Oryctolagus cuniculus: one gene and its partner. The protein of the gene in region 1 interacts with the protein of each later gene in a biochemical or structural test. Links are inferred from orthologs where the notes say so. Each region holds a gene or a part of one and is shown in the gene's direction. Other genes may lie near its edges.

Region 1 (4,357 bases):
TTATTCTTGTACTCCCAGTACCCAAGTGCTTAGAATAGGAAAGACTTAAACATAGATATACAAGCACTTCTAATACGTACAACCCGTCACATTACTTGTTCAGAGGCTGCTCTGGTACATGGAAATCATTTGCCCCCTCCTATATGTGCAGGTGTTTGAGGGGAGAGTAGGCAAGATACAATAGCTCATAAACCATACGGAACAGAAGCTGTTCAGTGTCTGGTACTTTCATTTAGTCCCCAAGACACAATGTTAAGGCACCACCACTCCCATTTTAAGAGTCACAAAGTACAGTGGGTGTTCTGGCACTTGGGACACCCACATTCCCCATGGGAGTGCCCAGGCTCAAGGCCTAGCTACTCGGCTTCCAATCCAAGTTCCTGCTGATGTGCACCCTGGCAGGGAGCAGATGATGGCCAAGAGTATGAGCCCCTGCAACCCATAAATGGGAGACACGGATGGAGCTATTGGCTCCTGGCTTCTGCCTCACTCAGCCCTGGCTACTGCAGGCATTTGGGAAGTGGACCAGTAGATGAGGTTCTCTCTGGCTGGCTGTCACCCTGCCTTTCCAGTAGATAAAAATAAGCAAAAAGCAAACATTAAAAAGTGAAAAAAAAAAAAGTCAAGAGTATCCCAATACCAGTCAATTCTATCCGGTACCTAAATCCTAATTCCTTCCATCTTCACGTCTCTCCTCCGCATTTTACAACATTTTGAGTCCATCTCTATTACACCACTCATCACGCTGTTACAATTCGTTTATACATTAGACTCCAGGGTAGATTTCTACAAGTTTATGAGGTCTTGGTACGCAAAAAGCATTCAATGAAAGCTCGACAACCCCAGAAGATTCAGGTCCAAGCGCCTGTGGCTCTTCCACTCATCCGCCTTCTGACAATAACATCACATAACCTCAACGAGCTGTAAAATGGGACAAAATTCCCCGGGCCCCATTCACTGGTGTTCAGGGAAATAGGTGATGTGCGCGGGGAAGGTCGTCGCAAATTAAGTCCAGGACTCACCTGTGCCCGGAGGCGTGACATAGGTCCGCCGCGGGTTGGCCAGCACCTTGCCATCCCGCACCACTCCCACGCCAATCTTGTTGGCGCTGCCTTCAAACCCCAGCACCGTCGGCATGGCGCCGCCTGAGAGAGAACGCCAAGGCGCCAAACACCGAGCCGCGACAGCCCTCGGCGGGCGGTACCGGCACGCTGTTGGTAAACAGTAAACCGCGCCCGGACACCAAAACCTGCCGCGGGGGCAGTGCCCGCGCCTGCGCCTGCGCCCGCCGGCGACCCACAAGGCCCCTTCCGGAACCTGTCTCCGGAGCTGCCGGGAGCGCTGAGCCGGCCTCTGCGCCGGCCCTGCCTAGTCCACTCCCCCGCCTCTCTCCTGCGGCCCAGCCCAGTCGCTGCCACTGAGCTTCTGCCCCCTCGCACGGCGCCGGCTCCTTCGGTCAGGGCGGCAGAAGGAGCCGTACATCAGGCACGAACGTGAACAGCCCAAGAACGGAGCCTTGGGACCTTCAGCCCTCCGCGGAGTGAGAGGGGCGTGTCAGAGTCTCCGTCACGTGGTGGCAGACGGCCCAATCACGCGCGGCCTCGGGTCACGTGACCACGCCAGTTACCCACGTGGGCGTCCAGCGTGCTCCCTTCTTTGTGCTCGGGTAAGGAGCCAGGCTGGGGCAGGAGCGGGGCAGGAGCAGGTCAGGTGCAGCGCTGCGTTTTTGCTTGTTGGAGGGGCCTCCGCTAGCTGCCTCACGGGACCTTTAGTAAAGGTCTCCCGTTGGCCGTAGAGCGGATCTCGCGGTGATTCAAACGCTCTATGGATAGATCTAGTTGGGGAGTGAAGCGCCGAAGGCCTGATGCACCGAGGCGGGGACAGGATTCAGAGATTATGTGGTTTGAAAGGCGGGACTTAGTGCGGGGGCCGTCCAGGGCAGGAGTTTTCTCCCCAGCCTTCGCCGGCTGAGTCGTATATCTTTGCATCCTTAGGCATCGCGGTGAAGATACTGCTTCGGTGGTCGACGTGGTTCGGGTGCCGAAGGGCGATCGTTACAGGCATGCCAAAGCGAGGGAAGAAGGGGGCCGCGGCAGAAGACGGGGAGGAGCCCAAGACGGGTGAGAGTGAAGCGGCCTCTCCCTGCCAGTCGCGGTGGGCGGGGTTGGGGGGGCTGCTTCTGAGTCCCTTGGCGAAATGTTAGCTGTGGGCCAACTCATAGCGGGCGCAGGAGAGGAAGTCGCGCTAACCGCAGGGTCGCGGTGCGTTTGCCTTGGACTCTGACTCGATGTTGGAAACCTCCAGCTCTTATCCCTACGTATTATTCTCGTTATAGAGCCAGAGACCAAGAAGGCTAAGACGGCAGCGAAGAAAAATGAAAAAGAGTCAGCAGGAGAGGGCCCCGTGCTGTATGAGGACCCCCCAGACCAGAAAACCTCACCTAGCGGCAAAGCTGCCACACTGAAGATCTGCTCCTGGAACGTGGATGGGCTTCGAGCCTGGATTAAGAAGAAAGGCTTAGATGTGAGTGGAATTCAGATTTCATGCTGAATGGTCTCAGGGCTTCATTAGCGTCTTTTCATTTTAATGCCCAGGATGTAACTTTTTTTTCTCCTTTCTTTTCTTGTGGGAGAAGTACAAGGGGCAAAGGGAAAGCAGTAGAAGATGAACCAAGACTTGCTGGAATGTCCATTCCTTCATTGCCATTGCCAGTCTTACTAATGTATCCTTCCTCCGACTGTTGCAAAAACCTCTGTGCTGGCCAGCCTCCATTTTAGCTCCAGAATACCCTCCATTCCCAAATCTACTGCTTAAAAGTCTTAGCTGCCCTTGTGATGGCTCTAATGTTTCATCCTGAGCAAGCCAGACAGCATAAAGGATTGTAAATCAGGTCTTCTGTTGGGTTCATTCCCACCTTTTCTTTTCTTTTAAAGATTTATCCATTTGTTTGAAAGGCAAAGTTACAGAGAGAGAGAGAGGTCTTCCATACAATGGTTCACTCCCCAATTGACTGCAACAGCCAGAGCTGCGCCCATCTGAAGCCAGGATCTTCTAGGTCTCCCACACCGGTGCAGGGGTCCAAGGACTTGGGCCATCTTCTACTGTTTTCCCAGGCCATAGCAGAGAGCTGGATCAGAAGTGGAGCAGCCGCTGGCCATTGCAGCCATCTGGGGAGTGAACCAGCAGATGGAAGACCTTTCTGTCTATACCTCTCTCTGTAACTCTTTCAAATAAACAAAATAAATCGAGTACCGGCCCTTCAGCAAGACCTTGCGCTTCAACGTGCTCAAGGTCACCAAGGCCGATGGCACCAAGAAGCAGTTCCAGAAGTTCTGAAACCAACGCCCACCTGCTCCCCAGAGAAATAAAGCTATTTTCCCACTCAAAAAAATGGAGCAGCCGGATCTTGAACTGGCGCCCATATGGGATGCCAGTGCTTCAGGCCAGGGTGTTAACCCGCTGTGCCACAGCACTGGTCCCTGTCCCCACCTTATTAACAGTTTCTTCCCCAGAATTGTACTTAAAAACCCTTAACACCAGCCCCTTTGGGTTTTTTCCTCTCTTGGAAGTCCCCCTCCATGCTGTTGTGGCTGGATGTCTTTGACTGTCATAAATCTTGCTTTTTAAGTCTAAAAAACAACCAACAAAATCTTAGCTGGCTATCCGCTACCTATAGAAAAAAACACAATCTCTTAGTGTAGCATTTAAGATTTTTTTTTTACCTCCTTCCATTGTCAGTTACAATAATTGTCCAAGATTTGTGCTGCTACACAGAGCTGCTTATGCACATGTATTGAGTAAAAGTCTCCTGAGCTGATGTTTTTTCCCCTTTTTCACTCCCAGTGGATAAAGGAAGAAGCCCCAGATATTCTGTGCCTCCAGGAGACCAAGTGTTCAGAGAACAAGCTGCCAGCTGAACTTCAGGAGCTGCCTGGATTACCTCACCAGTACTGGTCAGCTCCTTCAGACAAGGAAGGATACAGCGGGGTGGGCCTCCTTTCCCGCCAGTGCCCGCTCAAGGTCTCCTATGGCATTGGTAAGAGCCTGCTGCCCCCAGTGCCTGAGTGCTTCCAGAACTGCTGATACTGTCCTGGCCCACTCCGATTCCTTTCTTCCCTGCCTTCTCTTCGTGCAGTTCTTTATGCTGATTCTGTTGCACTGATTTTGTAGGTGAGGAAGAACACGATCAGGAAGGCCGGGTGATTGTGGCTGAATTTGATGCGTTCGTGCTGGTAACAGCCTACGTGCCTAACGCGGGCCGTGGTCTGGTAAGGTTGGAGTACCGCCAGCGCTGGGACGAAGCCTTCCGAAAGTTCCTGAAGGGCTTGGCTTCCCGCAAGCCTCTTGTGCTGTGTGG
Region 2 (3,456 bases), on another chromosome or scaffold:
GAGGCTGTGCATTATGGCCCAAGTACTGGGATGCCTACCTCCACATGGGAGACCTGGGTGGAGATTTGGACTCTTGCCCTGGCCCAACTCTGGCTGTTGCACGTGTTTAGGAAATGAACCAGCAGATGAAAGACATCTCTCTCTCTCTCTCTCTGCCTTTCAGATAGATAGATAAATAAATAAATACATCTTTTTTTTTTTTTTTTTTTTTAAGTGCAGAGCAGGTTCTGGGTTTGAAAGAAAAAGTTGCTTCCTCTGTACAAGGCTCGCTCTCCCCTAACCACTGAGAGGTGATAGTCCATGCGATGGAGTTATCAAGAGGTTGAATGGCAGATCCAGTGAAGCACTTGACAGGGTCTGGCATAGAGTGGGTGCTCACTGAGTTTAGGTACTTACAGCCACTAAGACAAGGCAACCAGAGAATGGAGCAGTGAAGATCGCCTGGATGCATTTTCTCATTACTAGTGGTCAGCCAGCTATGACTTACTAGATCAGGAAGAGATTAGGTATAAAAATAGCTCATCTGTATCCCCTACTGATTTGCCATCTGCTCATAGGCAAATCTTTTCTCTCTGATCCTTGGTTTCTAATGCCTGTAAAATGAAGATTTGGACTAAATGACTATGAAAGTTTGTTTTAGCATAGCCATGCTACATCTCTAAGCAGAGAATTCTCCCACCCACCCCACATGCTCCCAGACACATCTAAACAACCCCTCTCCCCACATGCGGTCACAGTAAGCATCAGTGAGACACAAATGCTCCAAAACAGGAGGTCTTGGTCCTTGACCCATCCCAGCCATGGCCCCTTAAAGCTTGCATGTCTCTAGGGCTGTACTCATGCTGGTTCCTGTGAGACCATTTGGTTAGCCTCACGGGTTGCCACAATGCCACAGCCAGTCAAGAGCAAACCCATGGGCTTCCTGAGTGCATGAGAAAAGCGAGACATGTGAATGGTGTTGGCAGGAAGGTAGCTATCGCCCCTGCATGACCCTGAAATAGCCTTTTGACGACTTTGGCTGGGTCTTTTTTTTTTTTTTTTTAACATTTATTTATTTATTTGAAAGGCAGCGTTACAGAGAGGGAAAGAGAGATCTGCCATCTGCTGGTTCATTCCCCAAATAGCTGTATCTGCTGGGACTGGGACAGGCCAAAGCCAGGAGCCTGGAACTCCATCCAGGTCTCCCATGTGGGTGGCAGGGACCCAAGCACCTGGGGCATCTTCCACTGCTTTCCCAGGTGCATTAGCAAGGATGCTGAATCAGAAGTGGAGCAGCTGGGACTTGAACTGGTGCTCATATGGGATGCCAAGGTTGCAGGCAGTGTATTAACCCACTGTGCCACAAGGCTGGCCCCTAATTGGGTCTTTCTCATCTAGGCCATCATGAGGAAGCCACGAGGAGCTGTGGGAAGTGGTCACAGGAAGCAGGCAGCCAGCAAGAAGCGAAGAAAACAACATGCCCTTGGTAGCAGCCAAATTGCACCTTCTGACCCTGATGGTGAGGAATTTGGCCCTAGCCAGAGGCTCGGGGCTGGTTTCATCAGCCGTGAAAGGGGGGAGCCTTGGGCTAGGAAGGGAGCATGGAATGTGTCAAGGCATTGAGACTGGGGATGGCACTGTGGCACTGTGAGTTAAGCCACTGCTTGTAACGCCAGCATTCCATATCCGAGTGCTGGTGCGAGTTTTCAGCTACTCCACTCCTGATCCAGCTCCCTGCTAATGCACCTGGGGAAGCAGTGGATGATGGCCCAAATACCTGGGCCCCTGCCACCTATGTGGGAGTCCTGAATGGAGTTCCAGGCTACTGGTTTTGGCCTGGCCCATTCCTGGCTATTGTAGCCATTTAGGGAGTGAACTGGAAGATGGATTCTTTCTCTCCCTTGCCCTCTCTCTCTCTCTTACTCTCCCTCTCTGTGTGTCACTCTGCCTTTCATGGCATTGAGGGACTAATTGAGGACCTAGTTCTGACTACGCTGCTTTGTGACTTTGCGATAATTGCTGTGAATGGCTGCTTTCTTACCAGTGAAGTGGAGCAGTGATCTGCATTTCTTTTCTCCCACGGCTTTTGTGGGAGCACATGTTTGTGAGACTGGGAGTGTTTTATAAACAGGAAAACTCTGTGCAAGTGTACATTCTACATGGCTGACACTCTTGGGTTTCCATTATGGCCCAGAAACAAATGAGCCGGTCATACCACTGGAAATTAAGGCCAGAACCTTGGCCAAGGCTGCATAGAGCACGAGAACTGTGACTGCAGCTCCGAGGCTTAAGCAGAGGTCGGGAAGCCCTCGGTGGGAGCATATTGCCACAGGCTGCTGTGTCCTGTGTCCCTGGTTCACAGCCTGCACAGGGAGAATCCCTGAGTGTCCTGAGGCCCCAGCAGGCCCGGCCAGACAGCAGGAAGAGGTGGTGTCGCAGGCCTCCGTCTCCCCGTACCATCTGTTCAGAGATTCAGCTGAAGTCACAGCCTTCCGTGAGGGCCTGCTGAACTGGTATGACCGTGAGAAGCGGGACCTACCCTGGAGGAGACGGGTAGGCAGGGAAGGGAAAGGGATGGAGGGGTGGGGAGAGACTGGCACCCAACCCTCTCCATGCTAACTGCGTATCTGGGTTGCATTGACAGGCAGAGGATGAGGTGGACCCAGACAGGCGGGCGTATGCTGGTCAGTACATCTCCTGAAAGTAGGGCTGCTTTGCCTGCATGGTCTCAGCTTTGGGGGCTTCAGGCAGCGAGCAGGTCAGCAGTGCCCTCATGCCAGCCCCTCTTCCCCAGTGTGGGTCTCAGAGGTCATGCTGCAGCAGACTCAGGTTGCCACGGTGATCAACTACTACACCCGATGGATGCAGGTGACTCATGGGAGGAAGGGGAGGGTCAGGAGTCAGACCCCAGATGAGAGCCTATACTTTGGGGTGTGTGTAAGGAAGGCTTCCTCTACCGTTCTCATCCGTGACCTCATCTCTTTTTGCCTGCCTTGGGGCTGTAGAAGTGGCCAACACTGCAGGACCTGGCCAGTGCTTCCCTGGAGGTGAGAGCCACACTAGGGTAGGGGAAAGGGAAACAGCTGAGGGATTGACCAGTGATCTTGTGGACCTGTGGCCCCACCCACAGGAGGTGAACCAGCTCTGGGCTGGCCTGGGCTACTATTCTCGAGGCAGGAGGCTGCAGGAGGGAGCTCGGAAGGTGAGGAAATCGTGGGGAGTTGGGAGTCCAGGGACCTTGAGTCTGTAGTAACCTTGAGCTTTCCTACCCCTATCAGGTGGTAGAGGAACTTGGGGGCCATGTGCCACGAACCGCAGAGACCCTGCAGCGGCTCCTGCCTGGTGTGGGGCGCTACACAGCTGGGGCCATAGCTTCCATCGCCTTTGGCCAGGTGAGCCCATAGCCCACCCCTACTTTGTGCATGCTCACCCTCTTTCTTCCCAGTCCAGGCTGACTCCTAGGCTCCTCTGTGCTAG

What was found.
Region 2: the proteins of APEX1 (region 1) and MUTYH form a complex in vitro, tested with the Homo sapiens proteins (3 studies listed by BioGRID and IntAct, with this or other methods). The link is inferred for Oryctolagus cuniculus from reciprocal best matches to the Homo sapiens genes APEX1 and MUTYH.

What each region holds. Positions count from the first base shown.
Region 1 is NC_091443.1:54,294,464-54,298,820, reverse strand, and holds the start of APEX1 (DNA repair nuclease/redox regulator APEX1), read left to right. Parts: upstream 1-1,529; 5' UTR 1,530-1,666; exon of another isoform or gene 1,667-1,845; intron 1,846-1,992; exon of another isoform or gene 1,993-1,994; 5' UTR 1,995-2,062; coding exon 2,063-2,120; intron 2,121-2,335; coding exon 2,336-2,523; intron 2,524-3,843; coding exon 3,844-4,036; intron 4,037-4,170; coding exon 4,171-4,357. Other genes in the region: OSGEP (tRNA N6-adenosine threonylcarbamoyltransferase), read right to left, coding at 1,023-1,137.
Region 2 is NC_091438.1:127,564,325-127,567,780, forward strand, and holds part of MUTYH (adenine DNA glycosylase), read left to right. Parts: intron 1-1,377; 5' UTR 1,378-1,383; coding exon 1,384-1,498; intron 1,499-2,341; coding exon 2,342-2,532; intron 2,533-2,623; coding exon 2,624-2,663; intron 2,664-2,773; coding exon 2,774-2,847; intron 2,848-2,984; coding exon 2,985-3,026; intron 3,027-3,109; coding exon 3,110-3,181; intron 3,182-3,257; coding exon 3,258-3,371; intron 3,372-3,456. UniProt on the Homo sapiens protein: Involved in oxidative DNA damage repair. Initiates repair of A*oxoG to C*G by removing the inappropriately paired adenine base from the DNA backbone. Possesses both adenine and 2-OH-A DNA glycosylase activities.